Drosophila melanogaster: one gene and its partners. The protein of the gene in region 4 interacts with the protein of the main gene of each other region in a pairwise test. Each region holds a gene or a part of one and is shown on either strand. Other genes may lie near its edges.

What was found.
Region 1: the proteins of Pph13 (region 4) and CG3603 interact in a two-hybrid assay, tested with the Drosophila melanogaster proteins (one large-scale study listed by BioGRID).
Region 2: the proteins of Pph13 (region 4) and CG15336 interact in a two-hybrid assay, tested with the Drosophila melanogaster proteins (one large-scale study listed by BioGRID).
Region 3: the proteins of Pph13 (region 4) and eg interact in a two-hybrid assay, tested with the Drosophila melanogaster proteins (one large-scale study listed by BioGRID).

Annotation. Positions count from the first base shown.
Region 1 is NC_004354.4:2,946,086-2,949,895, forward strand, and holds CG3603 (uncharacterized protein), read left to right. Parts: upstream 1-1,948; 5' UTR 1,949-2,020; coding exon 2,021-2,063; intron 2,064-2,132; coding exon 2,133-2,839; 3' UTR 2,840-3,035; downstream 3,036-3,810. Other genes in the region: CG14423 (uncharacterized protein), read left to right, coding at 1-364; CG17959 (uncharacterized protein), read left to right, coding at 1,020-1,466.
Region 2 is NC_004354.4:8,145,847-8,149,369, forward strand, and holds CG15336 (uncharacterized protein), read left to right. Parts: upstream 1-2,102; 5' UTR 2,103-2,168; coding exon 2,169-2,648; 3' UTR 2,649-2,859; downstream 2,860-3,523. Other genes in the region: CG2129 (uncharacterized protein), read left to right, coding at 103-1,500; CG10959 (uncharacterized protein), read left to right, coding at 3,052-3,523.
Region 3 is NT_037436.4:21,806,864-21,811,844, forward strand, and holds the start of eg (eagle), read left to right. Parts: upstream 1-1,839; 5' UTR 1,840-1,941; intron 1,942-1,975; exon of another isoform or gene 1,976-2,374; intron 2,375-4,981.
Region 4 is NT_033779.5:575,534-580,091, forward strand, and holds Pph13 (PvuII-PstI homology 13), read left to right. Parts: upstream 1-1,952; 5' UTR 1,953-2,459; coding exon 2,460-2,500; intron 2,501-2,621; coding exon 2,622-2,887; intron 2,888-2,950; coding exon 2,951-3,717; 3' UTR 3,718-4,016; downstream 4,017-4,558. Other genes in the region: Ptth (prothoracicotropic hormone), read right to left, coding at 244-489, 548-871, 981-1,067.

The DNA of each region.
Region 1 (3,810 bases), on a different chromosome or scaffold from region 4:
CCTGGCCGCTGGCGCCCAGGAATACGAGGTGGTCACCACTGAGCACGAGGTCCAGGGAACTGGCGGAGCCACCGTCGAAGGCGGCAAGGCCACCCAAAGCAATAACCATATCAGTCTGCGACGCAAAGGCGCCCGCCGCGGCCAGGTGATCAGCGTTCGCATCCCACCCCGCTACCGCCGCTACTTCAAGAACGGCCAGAAGGTGATGCTCAATACCGGTAGTCGTCCCGTCTCCAAGCGTCGCGTGGTTCGCAAGCGAGTGCCTGCCAAGAAAATCAACAAGAACAACCGGAGGCGCAACGGCAACAAGAAGAATCGTCGCAATCGCAACAAGAACCGTCGCAATCGCATCACCGCCGTCTAAGGATCTAGGATTCAAGGTCAGGATCCAACGATCCGACACATTCCGGCAAGATAATTTTTTTTTCTAATTTATTGTAGCCTAACTTGCTACTGCCACACTTCCTGCGGCAGGATAAACGATAAATAAAGCCCTTCAAGAATAACAAAACTGCATTCTTACTTTATCTTTGCGCGGTAATAATACTAATAATAAAAATAGTAAATTGTATAACAAAATAATAAGATTATAAGAGAATAAGAACGGGCTAAAATATAGTTGCGAATAGCAAGTAAGGTAGGAATTAAACTGAAGAAACTGAGTACATACCTTACCCACAATTTACTTTAGGCTCATTTACATCTTCATATTAATTGCTTATACAATTTTTCAAAAAACATCCCTCTAAAGATCGGAGGTTACAGCGATGAAGCACCAAAGATCAATGATCGTTGATCTTCAGAAGCAAAGAAAGGCAAAAACAATAGTTGGTACAATCTCCTTTATGGGCATAGAATCAAAGAAAAAACAAAAGTCTGTGAAAAGTACGCACTTGACCCACATTTTTGGGACGAAATCACCAAAGAGATCAGATCGTGACGAATGATGGGGCAATTTTCGGGTATTTAAGCGGCTGTTTAGCCCGGGGCTCAGTACAAACATGGCTGGACAGCGATTTATGATCGTACTGATCGTGGTTTCAATCTTGTTACCATCAATTCCGGAGGCTTCTGCCAAAGCCTGTGGATCGAGACTCCAGTTGCGGGCTCAAAATGATCCCGTTGACCTCAGTCGTTTGAGCGAGAAGCAGCTAAAACAGCTGGCTGAGCAGTTGGCAAAATTCAAAACGCAGAAGGACGAATATGGCGGTGATCTGGTGGAGGAAGAGGATGACCCAGAACAGGATCAGCAGCTGGAGGATGCCGAGGACGATCACCGCGGCGGAAGTCGTCCATGGAACAGGGTGCAGCGGATAATCCGAAGACAGCTGATAAAAATACCCAAGAGATATCTCAAGAAGCTCCTAAGGCAATTTGGATTGGCCCGGAGTGCTGGATATAGCGGTGTCCGGAGTGCGAACTTGACTCCCCAGCTGGAGGAGTACTACCTAATACCACTGCAGTGAAATTATTGACCGGAAATAAATACAAACATTTTGAAAATACAACACTTTTACGTACACTCTTTTGGGCGCTGGGCTAAAAACAATTGCTGAGTATTGAGTATTGCTCGTACTCAATACTGTTGGCTATCAAATAGCCTTCCTTAAAGCAAAAATGAATGGAAAATATTAATATTTTTAAACATGACAAATTAAATGAATTTCCATTTAGTTGCCATCAGAGACGTAGACGTATTTTTTAAACGAGCCTAAAACTATGTTTCGGCAAACAAACATAAAATTCATATACAAAGCACAATTTTTTTTTTAAGCGCTTTTGTGATCTTTGGACTCTTACATTTTTTTCTTGATAAACATATGGTTCCACCGAAAAGCTCTGACAACGATCGTGTGGTAAAAAGCTTTCCACCACTTCACTTATGTTTCATTTGTTCATAGCCAATCAGCTTTGGAACAGCTGTTGGCCGGCGATATATTTTAGTGATTATATAGTTGTCGCACGACCGTTGAGGAGAAAACAAGTGAAAACTGCTGTTTACTAAGTCATTTTTAGAGCCATGTCAGTGGGAGTACTAGCTGGAAAAGTAGCCCTGGTAACAGGTGTGTATTCGTTTGTTTTCTCTTGATATCTGCTCTTTATATGGGACTCTTCTAAACTGGAGTTTTTAGGTGCCGGATCAGGAATTGGTCGTGCCACCTGCCGCCTTTTGGCCAGAGATGGTGCCAAAGTGATCGCCGTTGACCGCAATCTAAAGGCGGCCCAAGAAACCGTACAGGAATTGGGCTCTGAGCGATCTGCCGCCCTGGAGGTGGACGTTTCCTCTGCCCAGAGTGTTCAATTCTCGGTGGCCGAGGCCCTAAAGAAATTCCAGCAGGCACCCACTATTGTGGTCAATTCGGCTGGAATAACCCGAGATGGTTATCTGCTCAAGATGCCCGAACGGGACTACGATGACGTATACGGGGTCAATCTGAAGGGCACCTTTCTGGTTACCCAGGCCTATGCCAAGGCCATGATCGAGCAGAAACTGGAAAACGGCACCATTGTGAACCTCTCAAGCATCGTGGCCAAGATGAACAACGTGGGCCAGGCCAACTATGCGGCCACCAAGGCGGGCGTGATCTCCTTCACGGAGGTGGCCTCCAAGGAGTTCGGAAAGTTTGGCATCCGTGTGAACTGCATCCTGCCAGGCTACATAGACACGCCCATGGTAGCGGTTGTGCCCGATTCTGTAAAGCAGGAGGTGGTACAACGATGCCCCTTGGGCCGATTGGGTCAGCCGGAGGAGATCGCCGAGGTCATTGCCTTTTTGGCCTCCCCGCAATCGTCATACGTCAATGGGGCTGCCATCGAGGTCACCGGGGGCCTTAAATAATCGTGAAATGCATATATGCAATATAACTTTCGTAGATCTAAGGCATCTAACACGCAGCTTGTATAGATTATACTTGCCTGGTTGTTCCATATTAGAAAAATGGATTCCCTATATATATATATATATATATATTGCAAGAGTAGGACCAGATTATTGCATTTACTTGTCAAGCCATTCGTAAAAAGTTTTTTTTTTTATCAACGTTAACATATGGTTGCTAACAGCTGTATCACATTTTGTTGCCAGGAAAAGCTGGTTAATAAGACTAGTTACACTTTAAAAACGTATTATGCTATCAAATTACTAAACATGTTTTCCAATCAGAAATTTAATCTCACACCTGTTGATATTGTCTTCAAATTCAAACACGCCATCTATGAGTGATCTTTCTTCGGCTTATCGATACTATCGTTTAAATCGTAACATGACAATGACAATATATATAGCATATCTTTAGGGGTAGTATTGTAACATCTTTTTTATTGATATGCCCATAAGAATGCCAAATATTTATGATCAGAAATCTATGCTCTAATAAGTTAAAGAACCGCTACTTCACCATACCATAGCAACATTGCGACATTGTGACCACAAAAGGACCGTCGAAGTGGGAAATGGAATGTTGCGACACGGCTTGTTGTGGTTTATTGGCAAGGCTTTTGGTCGGCTATTCGTTATTTGGACCCACCGAAATGTACAATATTAATACATTTCACAATTCCCCAGCTGCTAATTAACTCAGTCGCTTACACACACAGTCGCATTGGGGGATAGATATATGCACGTCAGGCGACTCCACACATATGTTTGAGTGGTGGTTGGGTTGTTTTGGGTTTCGGGTTTTCCGCCTCTGTGGTCGTGCGTGCAATTTAAATAATGAAGACATTTTATTAATTCAAGAAATTCAACTCTCCCGCACTGGCCACGCACACTGGGACACAAAAACACCCACCCACGCTCAGTCACACACA
Region 2 (3,523 bases), on a different chromosome or scaffold from region 4:
GTTGACGCCAAGACTAAAAGTTTGCGTTCCAATTAGAACGGCGAATATATTCGAAAAAAGGAGCAAATCCTGGGGAGCAACGGCCAGGTGGGAGCCGCAATCATGCTCAAGTCCCTCAAGCCGGACACGTACGCCGGAATGGCGAACGCCAAGTGCGGCGAGATCTACTTCCAGAGCCTGCACAGCTTCCGCATCGACTGTGCGTTCTGCGAGATGAAGAGCTTTGTGTTCGGAGACTTCCTGCTCCACGTCCAGAACATTCACTTCGAGAACGGCCTGCTGAAGACGGAGGCAACGGACGCCGGTGCGAATCTCAAGCAGGAGCGGGATCGTGAGCGGGAGCCTAACTCGCCGGTGCCCATTGTGGCGCAGGTGAATCCATTTGCCTGGTACGAGATTGGTGGCGATCACAACGAGGACAGCGACGATGAGCGCGTTGTCCTGGAAAAGCAGGATGAGGACGAAGATGAGCGGCCAGGCAGAAGCATAATCAAGTGGCAGGACCATCAGTCGCTGACCAGCGAATCTCTACGTCAAGTCCGAGCCCTCAAGGTGGACTACAAGGAGGAAGACTCCGAGCAGGAGGAGTGCGGCATGGAGCTGGATCTGGACAGCGAAGGCAGGCACTCTGCCAAGATTCCGCACTCGTGTCCGCACTGCACAAAAGTTTACCAGAGCCGCAAGGTCCTCGAACGCCACATAATGCGCCAGCACAAAGACACTCTCTCGCCGGATGTGGACAGCGAGGACGCGGACTACGAGCCGCCCAAGGATGCGCCCGTCAAGTCCGCTGCCCAGGAGTACAAGTGCGAGCACTGCGGCAAGATCTACCATGGCAAATACAGTCTGCGTCAGCATTTAAAGCGGGATCATGACAACGGCGAGGAAGGAGGCTCCGCCATCTTCACCTGCCTGGAATGCGAGGCCCAATTGCCGCGCCTGCGCCTGCTGGACGAGCACATGGTGCAGGCGCATGGCGGCGCTGCCTGTGTGGTTTGCGGGCGGCGCTACAAGACGCGACACGAACTGAAACGCCACCAGCTCAAGCACACCAGCGAACGGAACGTGCCCTGCCCGCATCCCGGCTGCGGCAAGCGCTTCTTCACCATCCGTCATATGCGCAATCACGGCAAGGTGCACACGGAGCAAAAGAACTTCGTCTGCGAGAGCTGCGGCTACAGCTGCCGGAACAAGGAGACGCTGCGCGTCCACATCAGGAGCCACACGGGCGAACGGCCGTTCGGGTGTCAAGTGTGCGACAAAAGATTCCCCTCCCATTCCGGCCTGCGAGAGCACATGGCCATGCATTCCACGGAGCGACCGCATGTGTGCAGCGTTTGCGGTGCGACCTTCTCCCGACAGAAAGGCCTCTACCACCACAAGTTCCTGCACGCGGACACCAAGCAGTTCGTGTGCAAGCTGTGCGGGAATGCCTATGCCCAGGCCGCCGGTCTCGCTGGACATATGCGCAAGCACCGGAACGACGAGCTCAACGGATAGGATCCGGATCACCGAGGTCGTAGTCTAAGTTGTACGTTTTGTATCTTCCAATTCCGACGTTTAAGTTCAGGAACTCAGGCATAGGCTATATATAGGATTACCATAGAAATCAATGGTTTTTTGCATTGCTCCGGCATGGAGCGGGTATCATGTGACTCTTCGGTCCTCGTTTCACGGGTTTCCATCGAATTTATTTGACACGCACTGTAAATAATATCCCTAGTTTTAGATAAACTGAAAGTTTGTTAATCTGTTTCGAGTGAACTTAGTTTGAGGCAAATTTAATTGGCTCGATTGTAAGTACTAAGACTAAACTACATTTCCATGAATTTTCTAAACTACCAACTCAAATAATAACTAAACTTTGTTAAGGTTTAAACTATACATTAAGCACACAATGCTTCCAAGAACCAAATCGAACGCCGTAATCTCGGCAACCGGATGTGGCTAGTATTCGAATGGTTAACTTTTTTGTATTGATAAATATACATAACATGAATTTGATTCGCAAAAGAGAGCCCGCGTTTAAAATTAGCCAAGCGATTTGGTACCTTTGACAGCAATTAATCGGTCGACTGCTGCTAAAGCGGCCAAATGCCAAGATGGTATTGGATGGGGTGCGTCTAACAATAGTGCCGACGATTAGATTTGGCACACGCGGACCGACCATGTCGGCGGAACGTCCAGCTGCCAGCTCCGATAATCGGCGACTTATGTGCGAGTTCTGCGGCTATCGGACGCGCATCTATTGGAATCTGCAGATCCATCGTCGGCGACACACCGGCGAAATGCCCTTCAGTTGCCAGCAATGCCAGGCGCGTTTCCCGGCCAGCTATCAGCTGAAAAGCCACTTGGAGCGGCACTTGGACGCCGGCGAGCGACGCCAGCGGCACATTTGCACCGACTGCAACGTGGGTTTCTCCAGTTCGCGGGCCCTGTACCATCACCGGACGCTCCACGAGGATGGGAAGCGCTTCAAGTGCTCCCAGTGCGACAAGTCGTTCGCTCAGGCGGCGGGCTACGCCCAACACAAGCGGATTCACCGCCAGAGGAACCAGCGAGCCACCGAAACCACGGATCTGAAGGATCTGCAGATCAAAAGAGTGGTTTCAAGTGTTTTTCATCGGCGCGAGTTTAACACTGCATAAAATTCAGTGGAGTAATTAACATTTTATTTTTGTGTCATATTCAAATTTAAAAAAACCGGGTAACCGATTCGTTATTTCAACTGAAGTGCCTTATAAATAAAACAGGCAGTATCACTTTCTAAGAGTCTGGTAACAAATTGGTAACACTTGAGAGGAGCATATTGCTTAGCTATTTAATATACATAGATCAAATATAATTAATTTTGAACTTAAAATTTATTTTGTAGTTTATTCGGTCAAACGGTTAGTTTGGTTTGAAACATAGCTGAATGGCTGTGAAATCAGTGCTGGTTTGAGTCTGCACTAAATGTCTATCGAAGTCGATCGAAATTTTGTTTACATATTTTATTTTAATTTTGGTAAATAATATTGCAACAATTTTAATGTAAATAAGAATCAGAAAATGTTGAGACACTGCCTCGCCAACGTCGACTACGTCCGCCTGCACGCCCAGCAGCAGTTGCGTCCCAAATGCGGCGAGATCTTCTACGAACCGGAGGCGAATAGATTCCAACTGGTCTGCCTGCTCTGCGACATGAAGCACTTTGGATTCGAGGACTTCGCCCGCCATATCCGTAATGTGCACTTCGACAAGCAGGGCCGACCGCTCACCAAGACGGTCACGGGACTGGGCAGACTAGCACGAGAGGAACAGGAGTTCCAAGGGGTCAGCGCAGAACCATTGGCTGTGGACAGCTTCAAGAAAGAGTACCTGCCCAACGAGGATGTTCTGTCGGAGGAGGAGGACGCGGAACAGGAGCTGGGACTGGAACAGGACGAGGGCAATCCACTACGCATCATGGTGCTCGGGGGTAAACAGTCCGTGGACGAGGAGACCATCGATACGATGTGGCAGCCGGATCATGACAGTTCCT
Region 3 (4,981 bases), on a different chromosome or scaffold from region 4:
TGAGAGATGAGCACGCAAGCAGGCGAGATACGCATGCGCCCGTTGCCAAGGCCCAAACTTAATTAAAAATTTGGAGAGAGCGGAGGGAAAATTTCAGATTGCCCACGAGCTGAAGAAATTTTAATATGACGACCAAATTGCACCGCAGCAGCTCCAGGAGCTGCATCGCCACTTGGCAGATTATGACGACAACTATACTGACAGGCAGAGCCAGAGGAAACTACTCCAAGAAACTAGCCAGATTCAGTTGCAGTCGCAATCGGAGTCTCCGTTCCAGTTCATGGCTAAATGCTTTTGGCTGTGATAAATTACACGTCGTTTTAGAGTGTTGCGCTTCCTTGTTACTCCGTCAAGTGGTGTTGACACGGCCGCGGCGAATGCAGAGTATTAAACGATCTCCGCCGTGGCACTCTTCTTCCGTCCAGTGGTGTTATTAAAATGAAATCATCATCATCACCAAGTGACAGAAGCCGGGAGTCTGAGCCTGAGCCTGAGCCTGAGTCTAAGTCTGAGCTGAGATGAGTTGAGATGGAGGGACAGACAACGACTGGTCAAATGCCCGGGGATCACTTTAGTGGGCATCTCGGCGCACGAAGGCAGTCATCTGATCATGCTTATGACAGGAGAATTCAATTAGACATATGGAAACGCGTTGATTGTTCCACTGGCAATTTTGCGCCTGGTGGCAATCCGATTTAAGCAGCACAGAACTAGCATTGATTATTTTGCAATTGTTGTTGAAGTACCGTATCGAATGTATTTAAATGGATACCATTTAGCCCTAATAAAATTGATTCCTTGTTAAACAATCTCATGCAACTTTTATTTTATTTACGCTCACAAGAATATAGCTTTATATATACCATTAGTGGCAGAATTTTGTATTCAACCTAAAAGAATTCTGCAGTGCCCCCAGATAGAATAAACCAACATCTATGCATATGTTTTCCATGTGGTCATCTCCAATCGTTATCAATCCGACAAAGATTCACATAAAAATATTTAAATATACGAAAGACTAGGGAGGCGAACTTGTTTTCTCCATTTTGCAGGTCAAGCCACAAATAACCTCTGATGTTTTCTTGGTTTCTCCCAATGTTTGTTTACACTGATCGCCGGGCATTAAGTGCCCACCTCCTTGCCACATTAGTCGTCCAATACGAGTTCAATTGGATGCACATGCACAACGAAGCAAACCAGGGCCAACACTCTCGCGGCCAATACACTCAAATGATAACAGTACCGTGTGTAGAGTCAAACGGGGGTAAAAAGACATCAGCCAACAGCCAACCGCATCGACACAGTATTCAATGGAAACGAACGAAACGCTTGGAGATCGTGCCGGTGCCAACAGCCAACCACAGTTCAGCTCTCAGAAGATGCGACGCTTTAACATTTACGGAGAGCGGAGAGTCGCGAACCGAGCTGGAAACGTACAGCAAACATGTTCGAAGCGAGGTCGGTAGCAGGGTGCACTTGGAGAAAAATGTTAGCACTCTTAATATACATAAATGCGTTTTGACTTATTTCAGTTAGCGTTGTAGAAACAAAAAACTGCATTTTTTCAGGGTACTAACTTGTCAATAATATCTTTAATATATTATTTAATAATATATATTTAATATAATTGTTTTAAAATTCTCCCGAAAATAACAAATCTTGTTTCGTTAACAGTTCAGTCAACAGATCTTACCGCCATAACATTGCTGTTAAACCGGCAGAACGGAGCACGCGCACCATTCGCCACAGCAGCTGTTTGCCAAACAGGATTTCCTGCAGCGACGGCCGCCGATTAACAGTTAAGTTTCGCCGTGCCCTGCCACTGTTGCAAACGCACGCACACAATCTAGCGACGCGTGCGCTTTGTTGTCTTGTTGCCGCTGCTGTTGCTGTTAGTGCTGCTGTTCGTGCTGCCGCGCTGCAGATGCTGCTGCTGCTGGGGTAAGATGATCTTTGAGGCCAGGGCCGCGCTGCCAGTTCGAGTCTGTTTGGCGCTCAGAACGACGGCGACGATTTAGTCTCGGATGGACGCTACGCTGCCAAGCACCGTCAGTCAGGCTTTCGCTGTTCTCTCGCTCTCGCAATCGCATTATATCCGACCGATCGCGAAGTTTTTCGGCACTATGTGCGCCACGTGATTGCTGAAATCTCCTTCGAAAGCCGTCGCTATATCATCAGCGATAATTCGGATTTAAGGTGTCATGTGAAGAGTGTGTTTGATATAATCAGTTGATTTTCATTCAAACGTATCCCAGTGTGTGAAGTTAAAAAAAAAACTGGAAAAATTAACATCTAAAGAGGAAAAAATAAATAAATAGTGAGTTGGTAAAAACATCGAATTTATGCTGTTGTGGAAATATATGATCTGGAAAAGGTAAGATTTTGTTGTATATGAGCTTATGCTATTAAAAAATGGCTAAGTCTCCCTGCTGACAAACAAAACATATTAAGAGAATAAATAAAACATTTATTCATTGAATTAATGAGACAACAACAAGTTGAGATGCTGGACACATAATTCAAACGCTAAAACAATAGATAAATACAAGCAATATATATATTAAAGGCTTAATTGAATAAAAACCATTTTGCATAATTTCCATAAATTTGTCGGATGGTTGTTGTAAGTCAAAATAAATCGCAAATAAAAGATTAATACCGAAAACAATTGCATTATAAAAACCAAACCAATTAAAGACTGAAATTATACAATTTAATAATATTTTTAGCAATAATTGAAATACTTAGTACAAACTATTAAAATCAAAACAAAAAACCAACAATAAAAAGACAAATCTGTTGCGAAGAAATGGCCCAACTATCCCCAGCTATCAAGGACCAAGCTTAACTCCCATGAGTTCGTACTCACACCACTAAGGAGGACCAAGGAGAACCAGAAAAAGTGTAATGGTGAAGACAAAAGAAGCTCATTGACATGCTCATTAATAATGTTATTGCCTTTTGTGCGATAAGTGTCAAGAAATTTCTACAATAGGGGCTGCGAATGGACAAAGATGGGAGATATTCAAACATTTAATTGTCCAACTGCTGTCGGCAATCAAGCAGAAAAGGGCCAGGGGCAGCCTGAAGCGACTGGATCGTGGATCCTCGATCGCGAAGGAAGAAGGATCAAGGATGGAGGATGGAGGATGGAGGATGGAGGATGGAGGATGGAGGATGGAGGATGGAGGATGGAGGATCGCAGATCAAGAATTGCGGAAGCAGACAATTCAAACTAGAGCGTGTGACTGCTGAGTGGATTTGCATACTGCGAATGTCCGTCTCCAGTGGTTGGCAGGGCTAATAATAAAGCATATTACCGGCAATTGTGCGCGAGATGGAAGGCGATTCGGGTGTAGGAAGGGTTTGGGCTTGGGTTTGGGTTTGGGTTAGGGCTTGGACTTGGATTTGGATTGCAGATTGTGTCAATGCTCCGGGGTTCGGTTCAGTGGGCTGTGTTCTTGATTCTTGTTCTATTTTGTAGCGGCTTCAAAATATTTGAGACAATCGTGGTTTGCTTGTTTGAACACCTTTTCTCCCTCTGTTGCCTTTATCAGATTTGGCATTGTCCATCATTTTGTTTGCTTTAAAGGACACATTTTTTTGGGACCTTGTTTATTATTCCTATTGAGAGAAGTCCAACGTTCTGCCCACTTTTTTTCAGCTCTGTCAACAGCGAGTTGATGAGCTTGTTGAGAATGTGGCAGCGACCAACTGATCTGGTTCTTATTGTCTAAGCCGCTCTGAACTTGTCCCCATCGAGTTCATCTGCAGATCTCCATAGATTAGATCCGAACAATCTCCTCCACTTGGCTTGCGATCAATATACAGTTGTAGTTTCTGTAGCAGTTTAGGTTTCTAATTAATTGTCTGTTTCTGCCCAATGTGTAACATTAATCTTGGCTTAATCGATAAGTCTGACAGCCAAGATCGTTCCTATATCTGGTCTGATCTGTTCGGTTCGATATACACTCAGAAATGAACAATGGGGATTCTGTTTTTAAATTTGAAAGGAACCTGCAGAGTCAAATATTTCGAATTGGCACAACCAAAGACACTAGAATGTCTTTGGCACAACTCTCGTCTACTCATTGTTTTCCCACAAATCGAACTGGCCATCGGACCTAAGCATTGCATTCACCTTAAATTTGGGCTCGGCTTGAGGACTTGTAATTAGCTCGAAGCATGGGAATTATGTACTCCTCCATGACATCTACTACTTCTATGCGCTGACTTAAAGGGGTCCTAAAGATGCCCCAAGAACAAGACTCTCAAATATGCGCCCGGTTACGTGGATCAGTGGCCTTGGTCGTTGTCGTCGTGATAAAGCCAAAAAGATTGAGATGCCGCCTGCGGATAGGGATCTGCAAGTTTATAGCTCGAGCGTGCCGCTCAATTGGATTTCAATCGGGTTTCTCAATAAGGATCGAAATGATTTTTGACTTTTTGGTTCTTTATCTACGAAGTTCAGGTACGGCGAGATGTATTGCAATTTACAGCACTTCTATGCATATTAAGTGCATAAATATTTAGTTTTATGAGTGCTTATTTATGAAAGCAGTGCAGCAGTAATATAGGTTGTTCCCAATGTCGAAGGTAAATGCACCTATTTGATGTAATTATACTCATTTTTCGGCTAACACGATGCTTATGAATCCATTTCCCCAAAACTCCTCCATTCAGAGATCTTCTTTCTAGCTGAGTGCAATCTGGCTTACCACTCCAGCTCCACCACGAACTGCGGTTCTGAGTCTTTGGGACCCAGAGATGGAAGATCTCCTCGATGATTTTCCTGCTTTCTGAAAAAGTGCACCGCTGTGCCGAAAATTGTCACGGTTTCGCGGTCGATGGCTCGCTTGCTGTGAAGGTGCAAATTTAATGTTTGCCAATTTAGCAGCGCTCTGCTGTCACCTTTGGTGTCCATTAGCGAGCGTTTATATGCAAAGTGCCGAGCATTGGCAGGCCAGCTCCGGATCTGGCA
Region 4 (4,558 bases):
TTATTGCTTTATTTCGAATTTTGCTGATGAATACGAATTGCATCCACGACATATCCTAGACAAATTATCTAAGAGAAAGCTCAAACATGAACATTAAGCTACATATAAGAATCAAAAGAATGCCTTAAAAATAACAATCTGTTTCATATCGAATCTCTCCCACAATAAAGCAACTTTGACGTCTTTTTGGCGCTTTAATATACAATTAATTCACATTCACGATAGTTGCTCACATCCTTTCAATCACTTTGTGCAGAAGCAGCCGGCAGTTACGGTGACCGTTTTGAACTGCCAAGGTTGATCCTTGTTCATCCACGAATAGGGGTGATCGGACTGAGAGGTCTGTGCCAGGACCTTTACCTTATATTCCAGTGGCCTGCAATTGGATCCATGCGAGCACTTGGCCAGATCCCGACCAGCGCCCGATTCGCAAACGGCATTCATCAGAAAGCGAGGGAAGTGCAGACCACCCAGATCCACGAGCTCATTCTGGGAATAACAAAATAATTATAAACATCTGACGCGGCTGAATGGTATCCCAACGAACCGTAACTTTGCAGTCGCAGCCTGCGGAATGGACATCATTGCGTTTGGTGGTCACCAGATCCTCATAGAAATCGTTATAGTACATGGGCGGCAGCTGATGGGGCATGACCATCGCCATCTCTGTGGGATGTGGAGTGCTGGGACTGAATCCGAATAGGGCACTGAGCATTTTCGATGTACTGCGATCGGGCTGCTGCTCCTCCGCGCGGTGTTCCAGACTCCTTAGACCCACCATCTCGTCCAAACCTTCATCGCTGGCGTACTGACTGGCGATTCCTTTATTTGTCAGGCTAAGCAGCGCCATTGCCATAATGGAAATGGGCAACTTGGAACGGAAGGGTTTTAAAATGAATTCAGTTCGGAGTATATCCTTGTGCGCCCTCCTTTGTAATTTCGTTTCTATATCTTTCGGCTCTCATCCAGATGAAACTTACCCACGGCATCATGCTCGATCTGTGCCTGACCAGCGCTGTACTCCTTCTGCAGCTCTGGCCAAGGAGTCGCCATACTTTTATATCCATTTAGGACAAAAGCCGCCTCTCGGATTACCTTTTGTGCCAGAGATGAGAGCAGCAGCATCCATTACGGTTCGTCACCTGGACAGGATGGAACAATGGACTCCACAGTTGACACCACAACAATGGCAAGCCATGCCAAGCTCAAGTGGCCCGGCTGATGGGGTTGAGTCCCTCGGCTATTTATACTCCTCTGCTGCTTTCAATGCTTCAATGGGGGAAATGGCTTTAAGGCCTCAAGTGCCGGCAGAGGTGGAGAACTTTGGGCGGTGGGAGTAGCCAAAAGAAGCCCACTGACCCAGACATGTGTGCAGAGGCAAAGGGCAATCCGATCTCCTCCCATCGATAACGTTGACCAGGGTGGGTTTCTGGATTTTTGGTTTCCGAAACGGCTCCGAAACTTTTTCCATAGCATACTTTTGAGTGAGGAGCTGTGGGAAATGCAATTCCGATTGTATTTTACTTGTCGGATTTCCCCCAAATGGATGACATTTCCGTTTCATGGTCTTGTTTAAAGAATATTGTTTTTATAATGTGCAAAGGCAGATGAATGGTAAAAATAGTGGTTTATAGTCTTATGTAGAATTCTTAAACATTTTCCAGCTATGCACATCCTCCGAAGGCACCATGAGTTGCCATAAATTATGAGCTCACTATGTCTCCCACTTGGGCCAGTTTGGGTGAGGAGCACCGCCACTGGCATAACAAGCCCGGCTAGAACGACTGTCCAAGAGGCTAGACCGGGTCAGACCTCTTAGGCACATAGTATATACCCCTGTTCGTAGGGAGCCCGCGAGTGTGCGAGTGCCAGTGGACTGTGGTCGACTTCTACGGCTTCTGTCGACGGACAGCACGCACTGTCACTGTTCCCCGTGGAAATCCAAAATCCTCCTCAGTCGAATTCGCGTCGTCGAGGCAAGAACAGTGCCCGTGCCACAAGGTTGGACATGCACAGCTGGACAATCTGACATCGCTTAGCCATCAGCAGCTACATAGGTTCGAGCAAGGGAAGTCGGGACTTGGAATCGGAATCAGAATAAAAAACCAGGAGCGGAGGAGATGCAGATTCCGCTGGTGGGCGACTTATGCTGAGCTCCGCAGCTGCCTGTCTCCAAAGACTTCATCCGTGCTTTCGCCGTTGTTGTTGTGCAGTTTTTCCGCCGTGGAATTTGTCGAAGCGGAAAAGCGAGAAGAAGCAGCGACGCGAAGCCCTCGAAGTGTCGACGAAAATCGTTAAAAAATAGAAAAACACACGGCGACTATGTCACGACGCGCTTGAAGAGCCCCATCCTCGCTGAGGGAGATATTGAGATTGAGCGGGATCCACACCTCAGTGGCCACTACTCGCCACCCACTCCGCCAACGTCAACGTTCACCAACAGGAAGCTCAGGATTCGCATGGACAAAGGCACAATGAAGCGCAAGCAGCGGAGATACAGGTATAGCAGATACATTCGAAATGTACATATATCGCGGTATAAATCCAAAAACTGGACTAGTTTCATAAGTATCTACTAAAGCTATAGGTGCACTAACACTAGTTTTCCTAATGATCCGCAGAACCACATTTAACACACTGCAACTGCAGGAGCTGGAAAGGGCGTTCCAGCGGACACACTATCCGGACGTGTTTTTCCGAGAGGAGCTGGCCGTGAGGATCGATTTGACGGAGGCGAGGGTGCAGGTGTGGTTCCAGAACCGGCGGGCCAAGTGGCGCAAGCAGGAGAAGATCGGTGGGCTTGGCGGAGATTATAAGGAGGGTGCGTTGGATCTCGACGTGTCCTACGACGACAGCGCCGTCCTGGGCCAACTGGATAGTGCGCTGGGTAAGAAAGGATATCTCTGTTACCTATCAACCCATCGCTAGTAATGACCCATATTGATTTCAGGCGGCGGTGGAACTCTATTGCCGGACACCCCACCGCAATCCTCGAACTCCCTTGATAACGAACTTAAGGCCTCCTACGGCACGGGGGCCATGTCGCCCTCTAGGCTGTCACCGAATATATTTCTCAACCTCAACATTGACCACTTGGGACTGGAGCGGGGTGGCAGTGGCCTCTCCATGGAGTGGTCCACATATCCTCCGCAAACGCAAGCGCAGACACACCCGCAGATGGACTCCGACAATCAGCTCCAGCAGCACCCGCCTCAACAGCATGCATCCGATCCGATTCACGCCGGGAGTTCGAGTCATCACCAGCAGCAGCAGCAGCAGCACCAGCAGGAGCAGCACAATCCCCAGCTTCATCCGGGGCTTGAGTTTGCCGCCTCATTGAGTTTGGACATGACCGATGGCTCCTCCGCCTACGACGAGATGAAGTTTCTCAGCGTGGACGTGGACCAGTTCACGATCGACAGCTTCAAGGCGGACTGCATTCTGAGCATGGAGCAGTCCCAGATGCAGGCCTACGGCGGTCACTCCCAGCTGGTCGGATCATCCAATGAACTGTGCCTGGACGGGATTGGCATGTCCTCCTTTGGCATGGAAGAGGGTGAGCCCAAGTCGCCTCCCTCTCTTTTGGTGCTGGACAAGTCGCTGCCCTCTTTGAGCATAGGCGTGGAAGGAATCGCTGATCTCGTGGAGCAACTGCATCATCACCAGCATGAGGGCGGCCCAGTGGGCGGTGGTGTCATCACTGGCGATGTCATGTGAATCCAACTTAGGCGAATTCTCAGTTTCTCAGCGGTAAACTGAAGTGCGAAACCTGCTCTAGTTATATTCTTGTTTTCTAGTCAATGTTAATGTCTAAGTTCAAGACCCAACAAGGTCGCCACACTTGACTACAAATATTTGGATGGTTAACTTACAAAAATTTTAGTACTAAATACTAGTTTATCTGAAGTTGTATTACTTTAGTCCTGGAAATGTGTCTTGATAAATAGCAAAGTGGTTTACATAAAGAGAACCTGTAAGTTTATAACATTTGAAAACAACGAGAATTGTTGAAAAAGAATATTTTTCGTAGTGTACATTTGTGAATTTCGAAACATTCGAATCGAATCGAAACGAAACGGAACGGAACGGGTCCTTGACTACGAGCACGGGTACCTTTTCTGGCCAGGCTCAGCCATAGCTTCTATGGATTCCGCATGTGTGTGCCAAACAAAGGAACCCCCCCCCCCTACGCCCCTGCCACGTCCCCTACCCTCTGCACACGCCTTATTTGTGGCTCGGATTAGAGGCAAGCTAGTTGTGCGATTTGAATGGATTTCGGCTTCCAGTGCTGTTTGTTCGGCAATAACATTTGCTTTGCTTTTTAACAATTACCAAAGACCGCTCCACGCTCCTCCCTGACCTGCCCACTGGTTGGCTGTAATTTCCATTTACTCCTATTAACGAGGATTTCTGTAGCTCCTGATCCTAAGCATCCTCAACGAACAACTCCTACGCTCCATTAAGTGAAAAGCTCACAGCAGAGATGATAAATATGGTGAAATTTAATGAAATTGTCAGTTAGTTCTAAAGTACTACAATAGATATGCTATTCTCATTA